Coturnix japonica: one gene and its partners. The protein of the gene in region 3 interacts with the protein of the main gene of each other region in a pairwise test. Links are inferred from orthologs where the notes say so. Each region holds a gene or a part of one and is shown on either strand. Other genes may lie near its edges.

Region 1 (3,650 bases), on a different chromosome or scaffold from region 3:
TTCTGTGGGGGCTGTCCTCTCACCTTCCTGCTCCTTCCTCAAAGAGCTCGTACCCTGGACAGCCAGCCAGGATGGGGGATGCCAAATACATCAACTTGAATAGGAGAGAATGTTACATCAGGGTGAAGAAAGTCCTATCGTGGCAGCTTTGCTGACTATTTTTGGACTGGAACTGTTAGAGTAATATTAAGTTGCACTGCAAACTAAATGCGTAGGCTAATTCTCTTTCTCCTGTTGAAAGCAAAGTCTGTTAAGTAGCCAGTATTGCTGCATATCTGCTCGCTCTAACGGCCACAATGGAAATCTCTTCTGAAGGGGTTCTCTGGAACTTGTCTTCATGTGATGCGGTGAAGATGACAATCATTAGAGACGCTCTGTCAACGCTGACAAACACTGTGATAGTGCCGCACTCCGGGTGGAACAGTGCCTCCTTTGATGATGATCATAAAATCAAATTTCAGACCTCCCTGGTTCTGCGCAACACGACGGGATGCCTGAGGTAACCTCCTGTTCTGCAGCACCCCACGGGCCCAGCAGCTCCTTCTTACCCTTAATCCTTAAGGCCAAATTGCTGCTGCCTTCCATTTAGTTCTACCATTCAGACAGCTTTCCTATTCATTGGGGTTCTTTTTCTGCATTAGGGATAGGGAGCTAGGAGATATGGTTTAGGGGTTTTCTGTAGGTATGGTGGAGGGGGGACGGTTGGACTAGATGATCTTAAAGGTCCTTTCCAACATTGTGATTCTGTGATTCTGTTTTGTTTGTTAAAACAAAATAATGGAAAGTAATCTGCAAACTGTCCAATAAATGGTGTCTGTCTGTGGGTGGGTGTGCTGCATTCATTTCTCATTTGGACTGTTTAGGAATCTCAGCTCTGCGGGGGAAGAAGCCCGGAAGCAGATGAGGTCCTGCGAAGGGCTGGTTGATTCTCTGCTCTATGTGATCCACACCTGTGTGAACACATCGGATTATGACAGCAAGGTGTGTGCAGTTTCATCTGAGGGGTTCTAGTGCTAACTCGTGTGTCTGATCTGATCTCTTGGGGTTTGTGCTTTAGGATACCTGTTCATCTAATGCTTAATTTGTTTGGTGTTTTCATCACAACACGAGAAAGCAACAAATGACACGACGTCTTTACTGGTTTCAGACAGTGGAGAACTGTGTGTGCACCCTGAGAAATCTTTCCTACCGCTTGGAGCTGGAGGTGCCTCAGGCGCGTCTGCTGGGCATCAATGAGCTGGACGACTTGTTGGGGAAGGAGTCACCCAGCAAAGACTCGGAGCCGAGCTGCTGGGGGAAAAAGAAGAAGAAGAAAAAAAAAACTTCCCAGGAGGACCAGGTCTGCCTTTATTTTTATTACAAATGTTTAAAATGTTTAACTAACAGTGAATATAACTTGAAGAAGAACACCATGAGTTGAATGGAAATACAGAGCTTTGTTGCATTTACAAATACGTATCCTTTTCTCAGTGGGATGGAGTTGGCCCTATCCCAGGATTTTCCAAGTCTCCTAAGGGGGTAGAAATGCTGTGGCACCCGTCGGTGGTGAAGCCGTACCTAACGCTTCTCGCAGAAAGCTCCAACCCAGCCACTCTGGAGGGCTCTGCAGGATCTCTCCAGAATCTTTCTGCAGGCAACTGGAAGGTACCCGACTTTCCTCCTCTTTCTCTCTAGAGCGCGGCATTAGTGCTTCTGTGCTATGAAATGTTATTTCTGCAGTGAAAGGCGATGTCAAACATGGTAGGCAGGGAGAGCGAGCTGGAAACTGTATAGTCAAAATGTACATGTAATAGGCAGTAATCACACTTCATAACATCAGGACCGCAGTATGTAGTATATTGGTTACGAGCATTAAAAAGCTGCATTTGCTCTGTCATTTTCATTTCCATATATTGCTGCTAATGGCTCTCACACACAATGTGTTACAACAGCATTAGGTGAGAATACTTCATTAATGGTATGTATTTGTCACAGGGGGATGGAGAAAATGTTAATTGCTTTCTTTGCTGTAGGAAACCAGATGAGGATGCTTCGTTTTATGCCCCTTTCAAAGTTGACCCTTTTTAAGAAAAGTACTTCTCCTTCTTCAATGATTTGTCACCTATTGGGATGTTTTGTCTGCTAGAACACTTCTTAAAATACTGTGCCATACCGGGAATGGGTGACAAAGAGCAGAGTCAGCCCTTTTTAGTAATGATAAAAGGAACCATTGAACTGTTAACATATCATCTTTGTAAAGATGTCCTCAAAATACTTAGGAATTATCATCTAATGAGAGACAGTTTCAGTCAGAATGCCCCAGTATATCTGCAAGTAACTCGGAGCTCTATTACAGTTTGCAGCGTACATTCGAGCTGCTGTAAGGAAAGAGAAAGGACTGCCGATCCTTGTGGAACTCCTGAGGATGGATAACGATAGAGTCGTTTCGTCTGTGGCAACTGCCTTAAGGAACATGGCGCTGGATGTTCGGAACAAGGAGCTGATTGGTGAGTGCAGAACTGTGAGGAATAACAAATCAGTCTGACCTAATACTGAAAGAGTACAACGTGAGATTCTACCAATAGACACAGCACACTCGATTTTACTGCAGCACATCACTTGTGCCCCAGAAATGAATTTTTTTGACAACAGGAGCTTTTCAGAGTCATTCTGTTGTTCTGGTTTGCCTTCAGCCGTCGTGCATGCCAGTCTTGTCACAGTGGGCTGAAGTGACCTCAGATGAACTGGACAGGAAACTGTCAGCACAAAATATGATGGATAACACAACTCTGCTTCCTTGGAGCTAATAAATGGTCGCCTTCTCAGAGGGCTTCAGGGGCCCTTGTGTACACTAACAGAAGGTGACAGCCCTGCTGCCAGCACACCAGTAAATTCTTTACCATTGGTCAGTGCAGAGCTCTTGGCTTTCAGCGATCGATACTCTGGGGTAAAAGGGTTATTTGACAGAACAGGCACTGTAACAAATAGCAGTGTAAGATGGTGTGTGGAAATGGGTGTGTTTCACTTCCCACTGTGTTTGAAAGGAATTGCTTTTGTGCACAGAATTTATTTTTGAGTAAAATTTTTCCCCAGACACGTTGTGCAAATAGATGGCAAAGGGCTCTGAGGAAGGCTTATTCATCAGGCACCATGACAGACAGATACAAGTCTGCAGCAAAATCAATTAGTAATCAATTAATTGTCAACATGACCTAAACAGTAAAAGAAAAAAAACACTTCAGCTTTACTTGATTTCCTTTGATTGCAGCGCGATTATTCCTCTGTCAGTCAGTAATTGAAACCGAAGGAGATGAGATCTGATCTCTCGTGGGTGACAAACACGGTGAAACGTAAGTTCTGACGTGGTTCTGTTGGTGGGTTGCTACAGGTAAATACGCCATGCGAGATCTGGTGAATCGACTGCCAGGAGGCAATGGCCCAAGCATATTGTCTGATGAGACCGTGGCTGCAATCTGCTGCGCACTGCATGAGGTCACCAGCAAGAACATGGAGAATGCCAAAGCCCTCGCTGACACGGGGGGAATAGAAAAGCTGGTGAACATAACCAAAGGAAGAGGTGACAGGCAAGTGGGCAACAAATTACATATGTCATCTGCGTGTTTCATTCCAAATGCGTAAGAATGTGGGTAACTGGGGATGGGGGGAGGTTA
Region 2 (4,179 bases), on a different chromosome or scaffold from region 3:
CCGAGCCCTTGTGCTACTTGTCCTGCTGTGGCAGACATGGCAATAGTCAGACCAAGAGCTCTTTTTGCTCTGGTTACTGGGGTCTGTTGGTTATCTGTGCTGTTCTGTGTTTGTGGGGAGGAGCCTTCAATCACACAACCAAACACTGTTTCCTTTTGTCACTAAAGTCATGAGATCAGGCAGTGCGCAGCTGCTCCAACATATGAGGGCACAGTGTGGGCTCTCTTGTGACTCCTCGATTCCAACACTGCCAGCAGCCTGAAGTTCCTCGGGCATAATCCAGTTTGGTTTTTATTTCTTGTACATACTAAAGAGCAACCAAGTACAATAAAAATAATAATAACCACCAGCATCCAGCTCTTCATTGTAGTAAATAGCAAAGTGTGGGGAAATAGGGAAGGATTAGGGGTTTAAAAGTACTGGTTTTCATACAGTGCTTCTAACCACACGAGTATTTTGTTTCTCAAAACTGCTGCAATGGGCTGCAGACTATAAAATGCTTGATTTGTTGTTGGCTTGAAAGCAGTGCCAGCAAAGCAGACAGGTCTCAAACACGAGGTGGTTTGGGTGAGGTGTCACCATTTGTTCCAAACATGCTTCTTGTTCTAACTGCTGGTTGATCTGTAGCAGCTGAAGTCTCCTTTTGTTTAATTGAAGGTTTTTTTTTTTTTTTTTATTCTGAATGCATCTTGCATCTGCTTTGGCTTTTCTCCCCCTTAGAGCAAGCAAGTTTATACCCAGATCTTTATTGCCTTCAGATATTTCAGACTATAATTAGGTTCCTCTTGCCCTCACCCCCCTTCCAGGCTCCCTTGTTTTCAAGGCTGAACATGTTAAGCTCGAGAGGCAGTTGCTGCTATCTCAGCCTGTGTTTGTTTCCACCCTCTGGACTCTCAATGACGTATGTCATTTTTCACACTAGGTTTTGGGTTTCACGAGCACCTTTCCTCTTATGCATGGTTTTTCCCACCTCCCCTTTTTCTCTGATTCGTTAATTTAGTTTTGACCACAAAATGGAAAGCCTGGGGTGCGTTTTTGTGCTAAGGCTTGACTTACTTACTACTTGTGGGGAGTAAACTCTTTGAAAGGGCTGACAATAGCAGGACACAGGGAAATGGTTTTAAGTTAAAACAGGGAAGATTTAGGTTGGATGTTAGGGGGAAGTTCTTCACTAGTAGAGTGGTTAGGCCCTGGAACAGGCTGCCCAGGGAGGTTGTGGATGCCCCGTCCTTGGAGGTGTTCAAGACCAGGTTGGACGGTGCCCTGGGCAACCTGATCTAGTAAATGTGTATGTTTGGTGGCTATGCCAGGCAGGGGGGTTGGAACTACATGATCCTTGAGGTCCCTTCCAACCCGGGTCATTCTGTGATTCTGTGATTCTGTGACTTAAGGTGATAGACTTGTGAGCAAACATGAGAAATTCACACGCATCTCATTAATAAGAGTCAGATTTTTTATCCCGAGAGAATGCCCACAAGTATTATGATAAAAGCAGCCTCTTTCTTGGTCCCTGTATCCACGTGCCTCAGCGCACTCAGTAAATCTGCGGTGATTGAATGTAACCTTTATTGCATGTAGCCCAAGAGTTAGCTCATGCCATTTCGCAGCCGCCGCGGCCTGAATGGCGATGACACATGCGTTACAAGGCAGGCATGTTTTAGCAGGGCACAGCTGCAGGCTGAAGTTCTAATAAAAAGCTGATTCAGGGCTCACGCGGCGGCGTTTGGGGTTTTCTCGCCGGGATTTTGGTGTTTTTTCACCGTTGTTAAGCGTTCGGCCAGGAATAGAAACTGCCTCTTTAAGAAGCCTCCGCGTAGGTAGCAGGAGCAGCCTGCAGAATGCAGGGGAAGCTTAGCTTTGCTGCGAAGCCCGAGTGTAACCTAACTAGCTGGGGGATATGCAACTGCTGATTGACAGCAGGACCAGCATTATGCAAATACTGCCAGAGCTGGGGGCTCTGTTAGGGAGCTCTCTACACACGCTGCGCTACGTGCTGCGCTCGCTTCTCCTCCTGCCCGGTTTAACAGTCAATAAACGGCACCAAACAATTTGTTGCTTTTCGGGGACGTGGTGGCGTGTAAAAATCTCGAGTGCGGTTTCAGTTTTGAGATACGTGTGAGAGAGCCGGAGCTATGTGTCAGAGCTTGTTACTCAAGCTAAATTAGGTAATTTTTAGCTGGGTAATGTGCTAATCTTTAAACCTTTATGTTTTTAAATCCTGCGTGCGTCTGGTCTCTTCATACAAAAGTGTATTTTGCTTGTTTCTTCTCGTCTTCTTCAGTCTGAAGCCTTATGTAGGTCAGGCTTGGCTTAAGCAGATTTCCTGAACCTGCGTCAGCTTAAGCTGAAGGAATTTTAATAAACCCTCCCTTGTAGGCGTGGGCCTAAATGAGACTAGCCTAGTTAAGCCTGATCTTTTTCTGTTTGTGAAAAAGAGCTGAGCAGAGCTAGGGACTGCATGGTGGCTTCGGGAGCTGCTTCCTTAATTCAGAGCTAACAATGGTCGGGAAGGCCAGATCTTCTAATTTCACCTTATCTGAAAAGCTCGATTTGCTAAAACTCGTGAAGCCTTACGTTAAAATTCTCGAAGAACACACCAATAAGCATTCCGTAATAGTGGAAAAAAACAAGTGCTGGGATATCATAGCCGATAACTACAATGCCATCGGAGTAGATCGCCCGCCTCGCACCGCACAGGGCCTGCGCACGCTGTACAAGAGGCTCAAAGAATATGCCAAGCAGGAGCTATTGCAGCAAAAGGAGACTCATTCAGACTGTAAAAGCAGCATTTCCGAGCCAACCAAGAAAGTTGTGGAGATGATTCCACAGATTTCCAAGATGTGTATAAGAGACAGGAGCGGTGTACAAAGGTGAGAGAATTCTTTTTATTTCGTTGCTGAATGAAAATGATGGCGCCTCCTATCTGCCGTGTAACGCTTTTCGTGTGCTCGGTGTCCTAAAGGAAGTGTTTGCGAGGGAAAATCCCAAAGCTGGGAACAATGACAAAATCATATTGCTTTTGTTTGATGACCAGCTTTATGGTGACTTAGCACTGCGTTTGTCTCTCAGCTCTTTCAAAGCCTGTTTCAGTCTTTGTCACACTCCGGAAAGTGAGGGTTAAGGGAGAATCAAAGAGAAATAGTAGCTCCAACCTCTACCCCTCCCCTACTTTTTAATAGGCAGATTATTCAAACACTGGCAAAGTGATGGCTATTCTCCTCCATTTAAGGCAATACTGCAGTCATTTTGCAACATATGCAACTGTTACCGGTTTATGTAAGATTTTTGATAAAGTTAGTTTGCAGAGCTACGAAACCTTGCTCAGAGAGCTTGTTTTGCCTCTCGTTTGCTCTGATGTGCATATTGTTTGAACTGATACCAACCCTGTACCCCCCGCACCACAGTGACTTTGGGAGTGCAGATGTGCTTTAAAAATGTTACTTTCCTTGCCTTGATGGGAATTCTCTGAAACTGGAGCAGAGCTAATTGCTGTCTAAACTCCAAGCAGTTCTGTCCTGTGTGCTGGGCAGCTTAAATGCACACGAGGAGGAACTGAGAGATACAGCAGTAGAAGTTTTCTTTTTTGTAGGGCTTTTTTTTTCTTCCTTCCTTTCTTTTTTTCTTTTACTGCTCAGTAAAGTGAGGCACACTGTCTAGATCTGAAGCCAGACATAATACAGGCAGGCAGCATACAGGCTTTCTCACACAGCTGGCGAATGCCCCTCGTATCTGACTTGCAGCACTCTGCTGATTCTGTATTGGTCCTTGAGGGATCCAAAAATGCCTGGGTCAGGTTCTGGTTCCTCCAGATACACAAAGTGAGCTTGGCAGGAGGGATAAAAGCCAAATAAATCCCCTCAAATCTTGAGAAATCTCCGATTTTTATTTTTATTGTTTTCTCCTTTTCACAAACGGATTAATGGGAAGTGAACTTCCCATATTTCAATCAGATATACAGATAGTTGGTGCAGCAGCTGAATGCTCTAAGAAAAACTGGCATGAGTACACAGGACAAATTCGATTCATGGTGCCACCGGTTGAACTGAATGGTAACAATTGCCTAAATCCCAACATAGCAGATGCTCTAAAAATATGCTGCTGTGGGTCCTTGGCGTAAAGGAGTCTGAAGCAACTGGGCTGCTCTGCTGCTCCTGGTGAATGCCCCTGGAGGAACAGTTC
Region 3 (3,040 bases):
GCAGGAAGGGAAATCAATGGTTCCACAGGAACTCACACACTGCCGCTCGCAACAGCCAAGCGAGGAGTCATTAATTCCCCTCCTTGCTCAGTGACAGCAGCTGCTGCACTCACTTGTGGGCAGCTTCTGAGGAATGATGCTGGCCAGGGCGGTACTGCTAGAGGCAAGCAGCAAGGAGAAAGGTGGGAAGGTTAAATGAAAGGGTGGCTGCATATGCACTCTGGGGAGAGACCTGGTCTCGTGAAAGCCCTTCAGCTGGTGCTGCCTGATGTACAGATTTAGCTCCAAGTGCCTTATGCTTTTGGAAATGGCTGTGGGAGGTTTCCCCCTCCCTGCTTGTTCCAACACTGCACAGTCAGCTCCCTGCTGCTCCTTGGCTGCTGGGACAGGACACCTCGTACAGAGAGACTCACACAGACACACAGAGAGAGCTAATCTATCTGCCTTCTAGTGTCTGCTCAGCTCTGCTCCACGACTTTCTGCCTTCAGCCATTCCCACACCTGCGTAGAGCCGAGCAGCTCAGGATCTACACCATGGTTTGACAATTAAAACAAAGAAATACTCAGCAGCATTAGCTTTCAGTATCTTGAAGAGGCGTGCCTTTAATCAAACAGAGAGACCCTGGTGTTACATACAGGCACACTGAGGGATGAAGAACAGATGCAACGGAGTCTGTTTTCAGATTTCCATAACAAGTGTGTGTCAGGAGCTGGCAGCTATGAAGACATGTGGCATATGCTAGGTGTGTCTGTGCCGTGCCCTGCCCAGGAAGCTGTTTCTTTCAAGGGAGCTCCTCTGATGAATTACAGACACTGGTAATGGACAGCGCTGCTTCCTTGAATATGCAGAGGGAGCTCACCTTGACCTTTCCTCCTCGTGGGCTCAAAACTGCTGGCGCTGCACTGCAGCAAGGAGCTGCCCACAAAGCTGCAGTTCCTCAGCACAAGCCTGATCCCAGACAAGCTGTGGTGGCAGGATGGTTGTTACCCTCTCCAGGTCACGGCAGCAATTCACAGCAGGGCATCTTCCTCCTCCACCCAGTCCTGCAGCCTTAGTCCTGCAACAGCTTGTGTTTGACAGTTGAGCTCTCTGAGCAGAGATGAACAAAGAGAGTCCCAGCTGCTGCACGAGCACGCAGCTCACACAGATCATAGTCATGGGCCCACTCCACATTGCCCCACCGCTGAATCTGGAGGAGGAACACAAGTCAGTTCAGAAGTGGATTACACTCAGAGCTGCTAGGCAACTCAGCCTCCTTTCTCATGTCTGTGAAACACAGGCAGCCCTCCAGGAGCTGTGCTGACTGCACACTACTAGGGTAGGGAGATCTCTGGATGAATACGGTGGAAGGACATGATTCCTCTGTACTGAGCTCTGAGGCAAAAACCCCTTAAAGGGAGGATGAAAATACTCTCATCAGTTTCAGCCATTTTAGGTCAGGGAGAGCTTCACACCAGGCCAGATTTCAGCTTTTGCTCTCAGAGGAAACAATTTAATAATAGTTTGGTGTCCAGCAAGGCCTCCAGCCTGGAAAACCCACAGCAAGAGAAGCCATCCATGGCTTTGCACTTCAGATTAGAGAGGGAGAAAAGCAGCCACCTGGGTTCTGCAAAACAAAACTGGCAGCCCCAAGAGCACCCTGGGCTGTTGCATCTATCATGTTGCTCTACAGCAGCGTGCTCCGGACTGGTGGAGTGGAACCTCTCCTGTAATAGCAGGCACTTCCCCTGCCAGTTATTTGTGGTGGGGGGTGCATTTGTCATGCTGAGATTATTGCTATTTGAATTATGGGGTTGCTCTGTAACATAATTTACCTGGTATTCTTCCTCCAGCCGAGACAGAAGCACGGCTTTCTCTACTGTAATGTGCCTGTCAATCAGGCCCATGGACAGAATCAGAGATTTCAGCTGGGTGATTACATATTCTATACCTGGAAGGGAAAAATCCAAAACAAACAATATTCATGGTCGTTTTCCACAGCATTACAGCAGCATCCTCCCATGCTTGGAAAGGACAATCAGGCTGTGGTCCCCCCTCAGGCAGATCACAGTGATGCCTCCCCACTCCCATCTGGGCTCCTAACAGCCAGACATGCAATTAACGGCACAATAGTGCTCTCCTGACCACCATCACTGCAATGACCTCAATGCTCTGATCATCTCAGCATATCAGCAGGGGGGGAAAAACGTTACAGTCTCTCCCCTCTCCCATGGAGAGGAGCTCTCCTGCCCTTGTGCAGCCCACACAGAGGGCTCCTGCAGCCCAGCCTCTCACCTTGCAGAGCCCACATGTTGTAGGAGGCCAGGTGGCTGATGAAGGTGTCCCTGGTGCTGGCTGGGATGTTTGGTCCCATGATGCTGGTAGAGGATCCGATTGCCACGTTGTACCTGACATGATCACATGGCCCCTTAGAAAAGCTTGTGGATCTTGCAGCTCTGAGTCACGAGCACTACAGCTATGGGCCTTTAGAAACAGCTTTAAACTCTCACCTTTTCTCAGCCCAGGCAACAATAGGATCCCATTCTTTCTTCTGCAGCTCTGCCAAGGCAACTGGCTCCTCCACACGATAGCTGGGACATTGCACAACAAAGCCATGTGGGTGTTCACACACAAGCTGTCAGACTGCTCCCAGCCAGACTGCAGCACTCCTGAGAAGAAAGTCTGTGCCCTCCGTAGACCACAGTATGGGGAGCATAGACCTCTTGTTCACCCTACCTGCAACAGCTGGGACTGGGAATAATCTCTCCATTCAAAGCTTTTTATTGTTCTAGAAAGGACAGTTCTATGCAGCTATATAACAGGGCTACAATCTACAACAGAAGACTGCAGATTACCTGAAACCAGCCAAGGGATGCAGCAAGATTTAGTGATCCATGGGACAAATCCCACAGGGCCCTTCCTGCTGCCTTGCACGCCCAGTGGCTCAGCTTAGCACTCACCAGCCACCGCCCTGCCCAGCCCAACACAAACAAAGCCACAAAAAGTGAGGTGAATCTGGTTTCCCTCTCCCTTCAGGAGCAAAGCAGCTGCCAGTGGACA

What was found.
Region 1: the proteins of ATPAF2 (region 3) and PKP4 interact in binary tests that used the Homo sapiens proteins (3 or more experiments, as listed by UniProt). The two-hybrid records come from large-scale screens. The link is inferred for Coturnix japonica from reciprocal best matches to the Homo sapiens genes ATPAF2 and PKP4.
Region 2: the proteins of ATPAF2 (region 3) and FSBP interact in binary tests that used the Homo sapiens proteins (3 or more experiments, as listed by UniProt). The two-hybrid records come from large-scale screens. The link is inferred for Coturnix japonica from reciprocal best matches to the Homo sapiens genes ATPAF2 and FSBP.

The regions. Positions count from the first base shown.
Region 1 is NC_029522.1:33,225,636-33,229,285, forward strand, and holds part of PKP4 (plakophilin-4), read left to right. Parts: intron 1-315; coding exon 316-499; intron 500-863; coding exon 864-981; intron 982-1,147; coding exon 1,148-1,339; intron 1,340-1,470; coding exon 1,471-1,644; intron 1,645-2,335; coding exon 2,336-2,486; intron 2,487-3,367; coding exon 3,368-3,563; intron 3,564-3,650. UniProt on the Homo sapiens protein: Plays a role as a regulator of Rho activity during cytokinesis. May play a role in junctional plaques.
Region 2 is NC_029517.1:114,239,762-114,243,940, reverse strand, and holds the start of FSBP (fibrinogen silencer-binding protein), read left to right. Parts: upstream 1-1,353; 5' UTR 1,354-2,499; coding exon 2,500-2,870; intron 2,871-4,179. UniProt on the Homo sapiens protein: Transcriptional repressor that down-regulates the expression of the fibrinogen gamma chain. Represses transcription of GSK3B gene promoter via its interaction with APBA1.
Region 3 is NC_029529.1:5,009,317-5,012,356, forward strand, and holds the end of ATPAF2 (ATP synthase mitochondrial F1 complex assembly factor 2), read right to left. Parts: intron 2,572-3,040; coding exon 2,491-2,571; intron 2,389-2,490; coding exon 2,276-2,388; intron 1,932-2,275; coding exon 1,816-1,931; intron 1,191-1,815; coding exon 1,053-1,190; 3' UTR 573-1,052; downstream 1-572. UniProt on the Homo sapiens protein: Plays a role in the assembly of the F1 component of the mitochondrial ATP synthase (ATPase).